2 linked regions of the Drosophila melanogaster genome follow. The protein of the gene in region 1 interacts with the protein of each later gene in a biochemical or structural test. Each region holds a gene or a part of one and is shown on either strand. Other genes may lie near its edges. The genes, in order: ETH and PK2-R2.

The links.
Region 2: of the proteins of ETH (region 1) and PK2-R2, one has a biochemical effect on the other in vitro, tested with the Drosophila melanogaster proteins (one study listed by BioGRID).

The regions. Positions count from the first base shown.
Region 1 is NT_033778.4:24,794,074-24,797,595, reverse strand, and holds ETH (ecdysis triggering hormone), read left to right. Parts: upstream 1-2,113; 5' UTR 2,114-2,137; coding exon 2,138-2,323; exon of another isoform or gene 2,324-2,381; coding exon 2,382-2,807; 3' UTR 2,808-2,926; downstream 2,927-3,522. Other genes in the region: Orc4 (origin recognition complex subunit 4), read left to right, coding at 304-495, 556-1,743.
Region 2 is NT_033777.3:13,328,302-13,335,940, reverse strand, and holds PK2-R2 (pyrokinin 2 receptor 2), read left to right. Parts: upstream 1-1,774; 5' UTR 1,775-2,051; intron 2,052-3,102; 5' UTR 3,103-3,197; exon of another isoform or gene 3,198-3,512; 5' UTR 3,513-3,689; coding exon 3,690-4,044; intron 4,045-4,291; coding exon 4,292-4,457; intron 4,458-4,536; coding exon 4,537-4,669; intron 4,670-4,987; coding exon 4,988-5,186; intron 5,187-5,254; coding exon 5,255-5,469; intron 5,470-5,624; coding exon 5,625-5,738; intron 5,739-5,985; coding exon 5,986-6,603; 3' UTR 6,604-6,871; downstream 6,872-7,639.

The sequences.
Region 1 (3,522 bases):
ATCGTAGGTCCATTTTGTATGAACTAAAATGTTGATATTTCAAAATGTGCTAAAGCCGCAGAAATTAGATCGTATTGGTTTGTGGCACGAATATATTTTTCAGGCGGCTTAAGGCAACACTGAGTAGTATCAGAGTTCCAAACCACCGTACATTAAATGAACCAATATCGGTTTTGTTCCATCCCCAATGCATTGTTGACGTTTTTTGGCGCGACTTAATTACTGGCAGAAATCCAAACTATCTGTGCGTCCATTTAACTAATAAATAAGGAGGAATAAAGGAGTTCCGATCCGAGAGCGAAAATGCCGGAGGCGGATAGGGAGCTGGTCAGCATCAGGCGCTTCCTGAAGGAGCGCCTCCAGCGAGACTACACCACCTTGAGGGGCTACGCAAAGGAGCGGTCCAATGTGCGCCTATTGCTGCAACGCACAGCTGAAATGGGGGAATCCAACTCCTTGCTGCTCCTTGGGCCGCGGGGATCCGGAAAGACAACGGTATGAGTGCAGGCCTTACCGGGAAACCAATCCAGTAATCTATGCTTTCAAATTCTTTAGCTCATCAACTCCGTGCTGGCCGATTTGCTGCCCAATAAATCGTTCGGGGAAAACACTCTCATCGTCCACCTGGACGGTAATCTGCACACGGACGACCGAGTGGCCCTGAAGTCCATCACTGTGCAGATGCAGCTGGAGAACGCTGCGGATGGGAAAGTGTTCGGATCGTTCGCCGAGAACCTCGCCTTCCTGCTGCAATGCCTCAAGGCGGGTGGCAAGCATTCCAAGAGCGTGATCTTTATTCTCGAGGAGTTCGACCTCTTCTGTGCTCACCACAACCAGACCCTGCTCTACAACCTCTTCGACGTCTCCCAGTCAGCCCAGGCGCCCATCTGTGTACTTGGCGTTACCTGTCGCCTCGACGTGATCGAGCTGCTGGAGAAGCGGGTCAAGTCGCGTTTCTCGCACCGGCAGGTCTTTCTCTTTCCCAGCTTGCGGCGCTTTGAGGATTACGTTGACCTGTGCAGGGATCTACTGTCCCTCCCGACCGGCAATTCACTGTTGCTGGCGGCGGAGAAAATCTATAACCTACAAAACATCCAGTCGGGGGCACTTTACTTCTCCCGCAACCATTTTGACCCCGGGGAGTACGGCTTTTCGCCCAGACTACGCGATGCCTGGAACAAGCAAATATGCAAAGTCCTGGCCACTCAGCAGGCAAGAAGCACCCTCCAAGCGCTCCATGACTTCGACATTAGCGAGGCCTATCTCAAGAACTTCCTATTCCGCCTGGTGGCACATCTCCGACCGCAATCTCCCCACATCACAGCCGAAAAAATGGCTGCAGTGGGATCACAGTTTGAGGGCGACGACAAGATAGAGCTGCTTTGCGGGCTCTCAGTCCTAGAGCTGTGCCTGATCATCGCCATCAAGCACCATTCGCAGATTTACGATCGCGATTCCTTCAACTTCGAGATCATTTACGCGCGCTTTTCCAAGTTTGCCAAAGTGTCCACCACAATGCAGGCCGTGGAGCGGTCCATTGTCCTGAAGGCCTTCGAGCATTTACGCATCGCAGAGCTGATCATGCCGCTCACCGGTGGAGCTGGAGGGGGCGTAGGTAAGGTGCAGAAAGAGTTTGAGATGCATAAGCTGGCGCTGACATACAGCCAGATTCACCACTGTATGCAGCGATACCAGGCCCTTCCCACAGAGGTTGCTCAGTGGGCGCAAAGCTCTCTGATTTAGCAGCAGATCAGAAATACTTTGTATATTTATTTATTTAAAAAAAATTGTACCGAATCATTTAGTTGGTAAAGCCCTGTTTTGGGAAAATAAACTAATTTTAATTTATAAAACGTATATAAGAGAAAAGACAAGCATTTACATACGCAAGTGGTATGTACTATAAAATTTAGTTCTTATACAAATGTAAGTAATGTAATGTGTATGTATGCACTTAATTATGGCCAGGCATTTAGGTCAGGTTAGTTCAGTTTTATCTGCTTTGCACTTTCCGATCGATAATGCTAATTCCTGGAGTCACCCGCATTTCTATTCCACGCAAGATGCGGGTGGATCTCGCTATATAAAGGCCACCAATTGTGGAGCAGGAGTCAGGTGAAGCTTCAGTCGCATCAGCATGAGAATCATAACAGTCCTGTCTGTTTCGCTCTTGGTGGGTCTTGTGGCCATAAGCCAGGCAGACGACAGTAGTCCAGGATTCTTCCTAAAGATCACCAAGAACGTACCGCGGCTGGGCAAGCGAGGCGAGAACTTTGCCATAAAGAACCTAAAGACCATTCCTCGCATAGGACGCAGTGAGCACGTAAGTTATACCCATGGGCTTTCTTAAAGGATATTTTTAAACCATGAACTGTTTTCAGAGCTCTGTTACTCCTCTGCTGGCGTGGCTATGGGATTTGGAAACGAGTCCAAGCAAGCGGCGCTTACCCGCAGGGGAATCCCCAGCGAAGGAGCAGGAACTTAACGTGGTGCAGCCCGTCAACTCGAATACGCTCCTTGAGCTGCTTGACAACAACGCTATTCCCAGCGAGCAGGTGAAGTTCGTCCACTGGAAGGATTTCGATCGTGCCCTCCAGGCAGATGCCGATCTGTACAGCAAGGTTATCCAGCTGGGACGCCGTCCGGACCAGCACCTCAAGCAGACTCTCAGCTTTGGCAGCTTCGTTCCCATCTTCGGCGACGAGCAGAATCCGGACTTTATGATGTACAAAAACAACGAGGATCAGGAACTTTACGGCGGGGGAAATCGCTACGATCGCCAATTCCTCAAGTACAACATCCTGTGAGATGTGGAGTATTCGATTTGAATACGGACAAAGGAATATGACATTATAGAAATACATGTAACTTACCAACACTGCTAGCTAGTGTGTTTCAAATATATCCGGAACCTTGAAAATGGTCCAAGAAAAAATTTAAATATCTTTTCAGTTGAATAATCCCAGAAAACAAATGCCTCTTTTGGTAAGTCCAAAAAACACCTCTAAAAACGATAGTAAACATAATAAATTTCGGCCATATGGAAATGACTCATCCTCTATCGCACGATGGTCTGAATATAACGTAAGTCTTCTCCAAGTCTTCATTAGAATGCTTTCCCATAAGTACGTAAATACAAAACCAAATGGAAAGAGAAAATCGAAATCCGGATTGCAGTTGCTTGGATCAGAGCCTTTCTTTATCGCATTCCCGGATGGAATCGAATGGAATCAGCACATTAACGGTGCTTCTTTGACCAGGTCCACTCCACTGCAATCCGCACCTCAATCTGGCGAGTCAACAACCCAGCTGTCTTCTTTTGGCGGGGATTTGGGGATGTGGGGTGGCTGACTCAACGCAGCGAGCTCGGGCTTATCAAATTTATGGGGTCCGTGATGTTAGGAAATTCCAGCGATCGCATTCTTCTGCTCCCTTTTACCGACTTCTACCTTTTAATTGAATTAAACGATCTGCCCGCGAATTGAATTCCCAAACAGGATGATGGCGCCGTCGCATTCTGGA
Region 2 (7,639 bases), on another chromosome or scaffold:
TAAACAATTAAATGGTATAATCGAAATGAAAGAAAAAGAGAACTATAATAATTAAAAAAAAAAAAACCGTTGTTGTATTCTACTGACAGATAACTTTATATTTGCTGTGCCATCCTTTTTTCCTTTTTAGAAATGTAAAATCAGCCAATTCAAAGTGTTTTAAATGTCTGGGCTCATATCCACTATCTTGTCCTGGCAGACAAGTTTCATATTTTATTTATATAAGCCCCAACTCTTATATTATATTGCCTGTACTTAGGTGAAAGTTAGGGAAAGCAGTGCGCGGCAACGGGTTGGTCGAACTGCAAATGACTTTTGGCCTGCCCTCTCTGCGTGCAATAAAACTAAATGAATTGGAAACTTGCACAAAAATTCAACCAAACTGCTGACGAGGATGCCGCCGTCGCCTGATGACAGAGTCCTGGGCAAAAGGCAAAACTTCAAAATGCCAAACAAAACGCCCCGAATCTGATGTCATGCCCAATGTTCATAAAGAGCAAGGCAAACGAAAATCTCCCCCATTTTCCACTTTCTTGGCCATTTTTCTCGGCTTTCGTCAACAATTGGCAGCCAAAGTTTTGACTGGGAATGCCTTTGCAGCACGTGCTCTGTGTTTTCCCTTCCTTTGAATTCATGAGATACTCGATGTAGAAAATGTTGTAGGGTCCCTGACAAAGAAATGCCAACTCCGACCCTAGATTTTATATCCAACAACCACCAGTATTCATTGTTTGTTTAGGACTTTGTTTTGATTAAGTGCCAAAAAATTGTTTCGAATTATTTACATAAAAATTGAGAAATTGAATGCATGCAATGGATTTGATTTGTTTGCCTCGCGATTCGATTTTCCAAGCGTCTCATATACATTCGCTATATTTGTTTGCTCTTAATATATATCGCACCAACGCTGGGATAGGAAAATACACATTTTATGAGCCGCAAAGCTTTGATAGATTTTCCCGCACATAGCCATAAAAGTTAGGCCCCGGGGCACTAATAAAATCTCCCTTTGACTGATCATAAAACCACGGCATCATGTCCAATTTCGTGACTTGATGTCTGGGGCTCAACGGCGTACAAAGTGGTTGCACAAATTAATTTTAAGCAATTCGGATGTTTTCGCTACAGTAATAAAAGTTTTGCAGAGAAAATCGCACCATATAGTGGCAGTTACATCCAATTATGGTGCGCTGCAATGTAAATAAAATGCATTCATGCAGGAACATATGCATAGTATGCATATGCCAAGTTTTTAAATAGCAAAGTTATATTTGTATATAGTCTCAATTTTACAGAAATACCACGTTAAATCGTTTTCTCACTTAAGGGCACCGAGCGTTTCTAATCCGGAAAATTAGGTTCAGTATAATAAATTTCTGTTCTTATTCTTTGAGCGACCACTTCACCTTTTCCGAGCTGCCTTGACTTAAATTGATTGTGGTTGTCGGTTTAGTTGGGTTTTAAGTGGGCGACAAGGTCGGCATTGCATTGTCCTTTGGCTCTGTTAACATAATAATCAAACAATTTGCCGCCATGGGCAAATTAATACGCCACTAAATAAGATAAACTGCATGGCACTCCAGAATTATTTGCATTTTTATTACCCTTTTGCCGGGGGACCCTTCATATAAGGCCGAAAATCAGCAGCGCGCCGCCGCAGAGAACCGAAAAGCAACCGGTAGTTGTTCGCTGCCGACGTCGCTGTTGCGTCGCTGTTAACGGCAACGACCGTGGCCCGAACGGACTTCGTTGCCAAGATATTTTGGCCAAAAACCCAGTCAGTCGGATGCTGCGGCCCGTTGCTGTAGCCGCCGCCGTCGCTCTTTCGGTTCTTACGTTTTCGGATCATTTGACGACGAAATAAAACGAGATATCGGGAAAACCATCAATTTACGCGTGCCCCTCAGTCATAATTTTACGATTCGGAGAATCATTTTACGTACCAGAATTAATCAGTGCCATACGCAAATAGTTAAAGCCATTAATTCTGTGAGCGTGTATATCAAATTAAGCCCAACACGTTGCGGTCATTAATCAACATTTAGCACATGGTAAAAAACTGATTAGCTATATTGCAATAAAACACCTTAAAAACAAAACGAAATCACATCTCAGAGAAAGTGAGTGAAAGAATGGGGGGAGCACAGAGAGTGCAATGCTCGCAAATGCGAAGGCAGAGTGACAAAATCAAAACAGTTCAAAGCCATAAAAAATAAATGCATTCTGAAAAATGTGGCAGGCATCGTTTGATAAATTTAAATTAAACGTGTTTTAAATGCACAAACGATAGCCAGCCGAGTGTCGAGATATATAATTAATTGCCATTAGGCGGAATGAAAAGTTCCGAACAGGAGCACCGAAACAGTTGTAAACAAGTTGAAAATAAATAAGGCATTATCGGGGGCCTCAAGATCTACAGATTGCCAGTGAAATCCATTGACCCGAAACACTAATGGTGCAGAATCTATAATAACATATTATGCCTCAATGCGAACCGGCTTGCCAAGCGCAAAATATGGAAAATAATAGTAAACCAAATACAAAACTCACACTTTATGGACATGGGCGGGTGCATGGGCATAATTTTTTTCGGTGGGATGCCACACGGTCGATCATCGGAATCATCGGACAACGAAACGAAAACAGAAAAATGAATAAATGAAAACCAGTTTTATCGAATATACAATATAATAAAACCTAATTCGACAGCATTCTTTTGGTTGTGCATATATTGTAGAAACTTTTTTATGATAATGATAATGAAAACGTCCAAAAACGGTCAACAGCGGTCAGCAGCAACAATAACGAAAAGTATAGCCAGAATGTGAACAGAACAGAGCAGAACAGCAGCAGCCGAAAACACTCATCATCTGAATGGAATGAAACTATGTTAATGTTATTAAGTCACCCGGTGTCCATTTGCCATCGTCGTCTCCTTATCCGTCTTATCCACCACCTGACCTTGAGCTTCTGGCTCGTTTCATTCGTTTGCCACCTGGTGTTGGGTGGGAGACGGATCGGCAGGCCTGTCCTTCTCAGCCTTGTAGCAACATCCTTAAATTCATCCAGTGTACACAAATATTTTGACTAAATGCCACTTAGCAATTCAAATTAATTTTCAGCTTCCACTCGCCCTGATCCTGGTCTTTCGCCTAGGACACGCCTGACTGCCGCCTGCCAGTTTCCCAGGATGCCAGGTAAACACACAGGACACAAACACGCTTTAAGACGGGCTCTCTAAGGTGGACCTTAGCAAGCTAAACAAAGCGCACAGCTTACCAACCAAATTGTGTATATGTATAATTTATGGTAATTTAGAAATCTGGAGTAAAAAGCCTTAATGTTTGAATTTGTTTTATTACTAAATTCGTTAAAATGCGTTATTTGTCTTGTATTATTTTATTTAAATTTTAACAAATTTTGAAAAACATAGTTTTATTTAAATAGCACATAGGGTCCACCTTATCACACACATCCGTACACATAATTTAATCCCACACTCATGACAACAGATTGCAAGTGGAGTGGCTCTGGCCTAAGTCGAAATTGATGAGCCCCCGTAAGGGGCGTTATGAAAACATTATTTGCAAGCGAAAGCTTCGATTGAGAATACATACGCAGAAGTCTGAAATTTCCAAAGAAATTCGAAAATAATAGTGCGTATACACACACACAAAGACACACACCCTATGGCAGTCAAAATGCTGCCCACTAACAGTTCCGGTGTCCTGGCAACCGATCTACAACTGTTTCACAATGAGAAATTTCTCTTAAATCTGACACAAGTGCTGAACATCTCCGCGGACAACCTGACCAGCCTTCTCCAGGGCCTGGAGCCGGAGGAGCTTTTGCCCACGGTGACCCCGATGACACCACTTTCACTGCTGGCCACCCTAAGCGTGGGCTACGCCCTCATATTTATCGCCGGCGTTTTGGGCAACCTCATCACATGCATTGTCATTTCGCGGAACAACTTTATGCACACGGCCACCAACTTTTATCTGTTTAACCTCGCTATATCCGACATGATTTTGTTATGCTCAGGTGAGTGCAAAACTAAAATGTTCATGGTTTTTGAATTATAATTTAATTCAGTTCAGTAGTGCAAACAATAAATGGAACTGAGGCATATTAAATTAAAATTTGTAAATAAACAAGAAAATGTAGAGTGAGATATTCGGCAGATGCTCAAATCGATTTGCATTTTGAGGCTATAGGCTATAATTTCAGCTATTATTAAATATTTATAATCACACTATATATTTTGCTATTTTGCTATTTATGTTCTTAGGAATGCCGCAGGACCTCTATAACCTCTGGCACCCGGATAATTATCCTTTCAGTGACAGCATCTGCATATTGGAGAGCGTTCTCTCGGAAACGGCGGCCAATGCGACAGTTCTAACCATTACCGCGTTCACAGTCGAACGATATATTGCCATTTGTCATCCGTTCAGGTAAGGGAACCTTCATTCCTTCCACTGCCCATTTCCATTTTGCCCCAAACTTGCTTAATTGGTTCTGCTTTCGATACAGGCAGCACACGATGTCCAAGTTGTCACGGGCCGTAAAGTTCATATTTGCCATCTGGATAGCTGCCCTTTTGCTGGCCCTGCCCCAAGCCATTCAGTTCTCCGTGGTGATGCAGGGCATGGGAACATCGTGCACGGTGCGTATGATTGATGCGAGACCCTTAATCGTATGTCCCCCAGTTATGAGTTACCTGGTTAATTGATTCGTAGAACCGGTCCTTTGATCCTTTGATTCATTATGTGTTTTCCGTATAGAAAGTTCGAATAGAGAGCCTTTGTGAATTACAAAAAATTTAAGAGCATGATAAAAACAGCGACAATCCCTTACGAGGTTCGACTCAGTTTAGGCAATCAAATTTACAGCCATTGCCTTCCGGCTGTGGCTGTAAGCCAAAACCATATCGTATCGCATGCGAATACACATATATATTATTTTTGTGAAATGCCTGCTGTAGATGAAAAACGACTTTTTTGCCCATGTGTTTGCTGTGTCGGGCTTCCTGTTCTTTGGCGGACCCATGACGGCCATCTGCGTGCTCTATGTCCTCATCGGGGTGAAGTTGAAACGGAGCCGACTCCTGCAGGCGCTTCCCAGGCGATGTTACGATGTAAACCGGGGGATAAGCGCCCAAACGCGAGTCATCCGGATGCTGGGTAAGCAGGATATGAAATATCCGAAATAACTCATGGTTGCATCAGGCGCCCTTATCCAACTTTCCCAGTGGCGGTGGCCGTGGCCTTCTTCATCTGCTGGGCCCCCTTTCACGCCCAGCGGCTGATGGCGGTCTATGGATCCACCTCGGGCATTGAGTCCCAGTGGTTCAACGACGTGTTCAGCATCCTCGACTATACGTCCGGTGTTCTCTACTTCCTCTCAACTTGCATCAACCCGCTGCTCTACAACATCATGAGCCACAAGTTTCGTGAGGCTTTTAAGGTGAGTTTCGCTGCCGGATATTCATTTCTATAGCTTGCGTTAGGAAATTGAAAATAAGCTTCAGGTTACAAGTTTATTAATCGATTCTTTAACGGTCAATTTAGTGATTTTAAACTTCAAGCTAGAATTAAAAAACGTATTTAATCCCATTTTAGGTAACTTTGGCTAGACACTTTGGACTTGGTGGCAAAAATCAGGGAAGGGGGCTTCCTCATACTTACAGCGCTCTTCGACGTAATCAAACGGGTTCACTGCGGCTGCACACAACGGTGAGTGCACTGAGAAAAATTACATAATTATCATTCGATATATGCACTTAAATTCTATTATGTGGCATTATTTAAGAGGAAAATGAAAAGGATTAATATAGTGTATGTCCTGTTTCTCAAAATGAAATTTGAATCACGAGACTTTTTAAAACCACTATAAGATGTTTATTGCGTTACTTATTTTCGTGTCTGGCGACTGCACTTTCCCTTTCTGATTATCCCTCCATTCCTTGATTTCCTCCTGCAGGACAGCGTTCGCACCACAATGACTTCCATGGCGACGACCACCACTGGGCTAAATGGCTCTGCCAATGGCAGTGGCAATGGAACGACAACGGGTCAGTCGGTGCGCCTGAACCGCGTGTCCTTGGACAGTGTCCAGATGCAGGGTCAGAATCGCAGCCGGCAAGACCTCTTCGATAATCCGCGTCGCATGCTCCAGACGCAAATATCGCAGCTGTCATCGGTGGGCGATGCCCATTCCCTCTTGGAGGAGGATTTGCAGTTTCCCGGGGAGCCACTGCAGCGCCAGCCCACGATGTGCTCCATTGACGAGCTCACAGATGACTTGGCCATCTCGCGGTCACGCCTTAAACTTACGCGCATCACCCGCCCACCAGGAGGTGTGACGGGGGGCGTGGCAGGAGGCAGCACAACAGGGGCCGCGGGGTCGGGGGGCGTGAGCGGTGACGAGTCGAGTGGCAAAGTGCGCAAGGCGAAAGTGAAAGTGCTCAAGAGCTCAAGCCCGTTCAAGGGTCTCAGGACCAAATTCAATTGGCGTGCCAGACGCAAAGGCAGCCACAAACCGCACGAAAAGGGGGCGACGGTGAATGGAGGCGACACTGAAGAGCGGGCCGCCTTTTAAAGGGGGTCAGCATATCCTCTATCTGTACTCGATAAGCGAGGTAGTCCATTCCAGTGCCACCTACGTACATTACACACACACACAACTGTGATACGAGCAGCAAGCGCCACTCCAGCTTGTTTGTGTTTTAATTTAGACAAATATTCCGCGTTTGGGGTCAATTATATGGTTGTCCTTACCAATAACCGTAATATAGCCCAAAGCTATAGTTCGAATTATAGTTATAGTGCACGTAATCGAATAAACTATGTAGTTATGTACTCAGTTCAAAAATTCGACCGTTGTTTCATTTATAAAGTGGAGTTTAATAAAAAAAGAATGGACTTTTGATAAAAATAAAATGAATCTACATAGTTAAGCGTAAATAGTATTTGGAGTACAGTGATATATAAATACATATTAAGGTTGATACCCTAATGGTTTTATTATACAATTTAAATATAAAAGCGATCTCAGTTTTTTAAACAGCTGACCGACTTTGTTAGCAGTCCAATAGAAACTGTTATCTAATGTCAGTTTTTCAATATCCATTAATAACATTTCTCTTGCAGTAAATATTTTTTTCCCATTTAATGAATACATTTTTTTTTTTTGAAAGAGTGTGGATCAAGTGGGGATTATCAAGAAGAGGGTTCAATGGGCGTCTGGCTAATTACTGTCAGTAAAAAGCGGGCACTGCATCATAATCCCTGGCCATTAAGATGTTTATCTGGCGCACAAATTCGCTTTTTGGTCTGGAGTCTAGACAGTGGATGAAAGCCATTCTCGCGATTGGCCAACATTCGCTGAAAGCCGCTGTTGGTGACTAATTAGCAGCATGCCATAACGCAGTGTCCCAGTGCATTTTGTTTTAATTTCAGCAAATGCAATTTGTCAGGCAAACATAACGTGTGTGCAGCCTAAAATAAATGACTTTTAATTCATAAAGTGCAGCATATGTTGGGAAAATGTGGCTTAAACGAGTAACTGAAACCACAAAAAGTTTCCTTAATTTGCCCAACAGTTGCAAAATTAATGTTCATTTTCGGTTGCACTT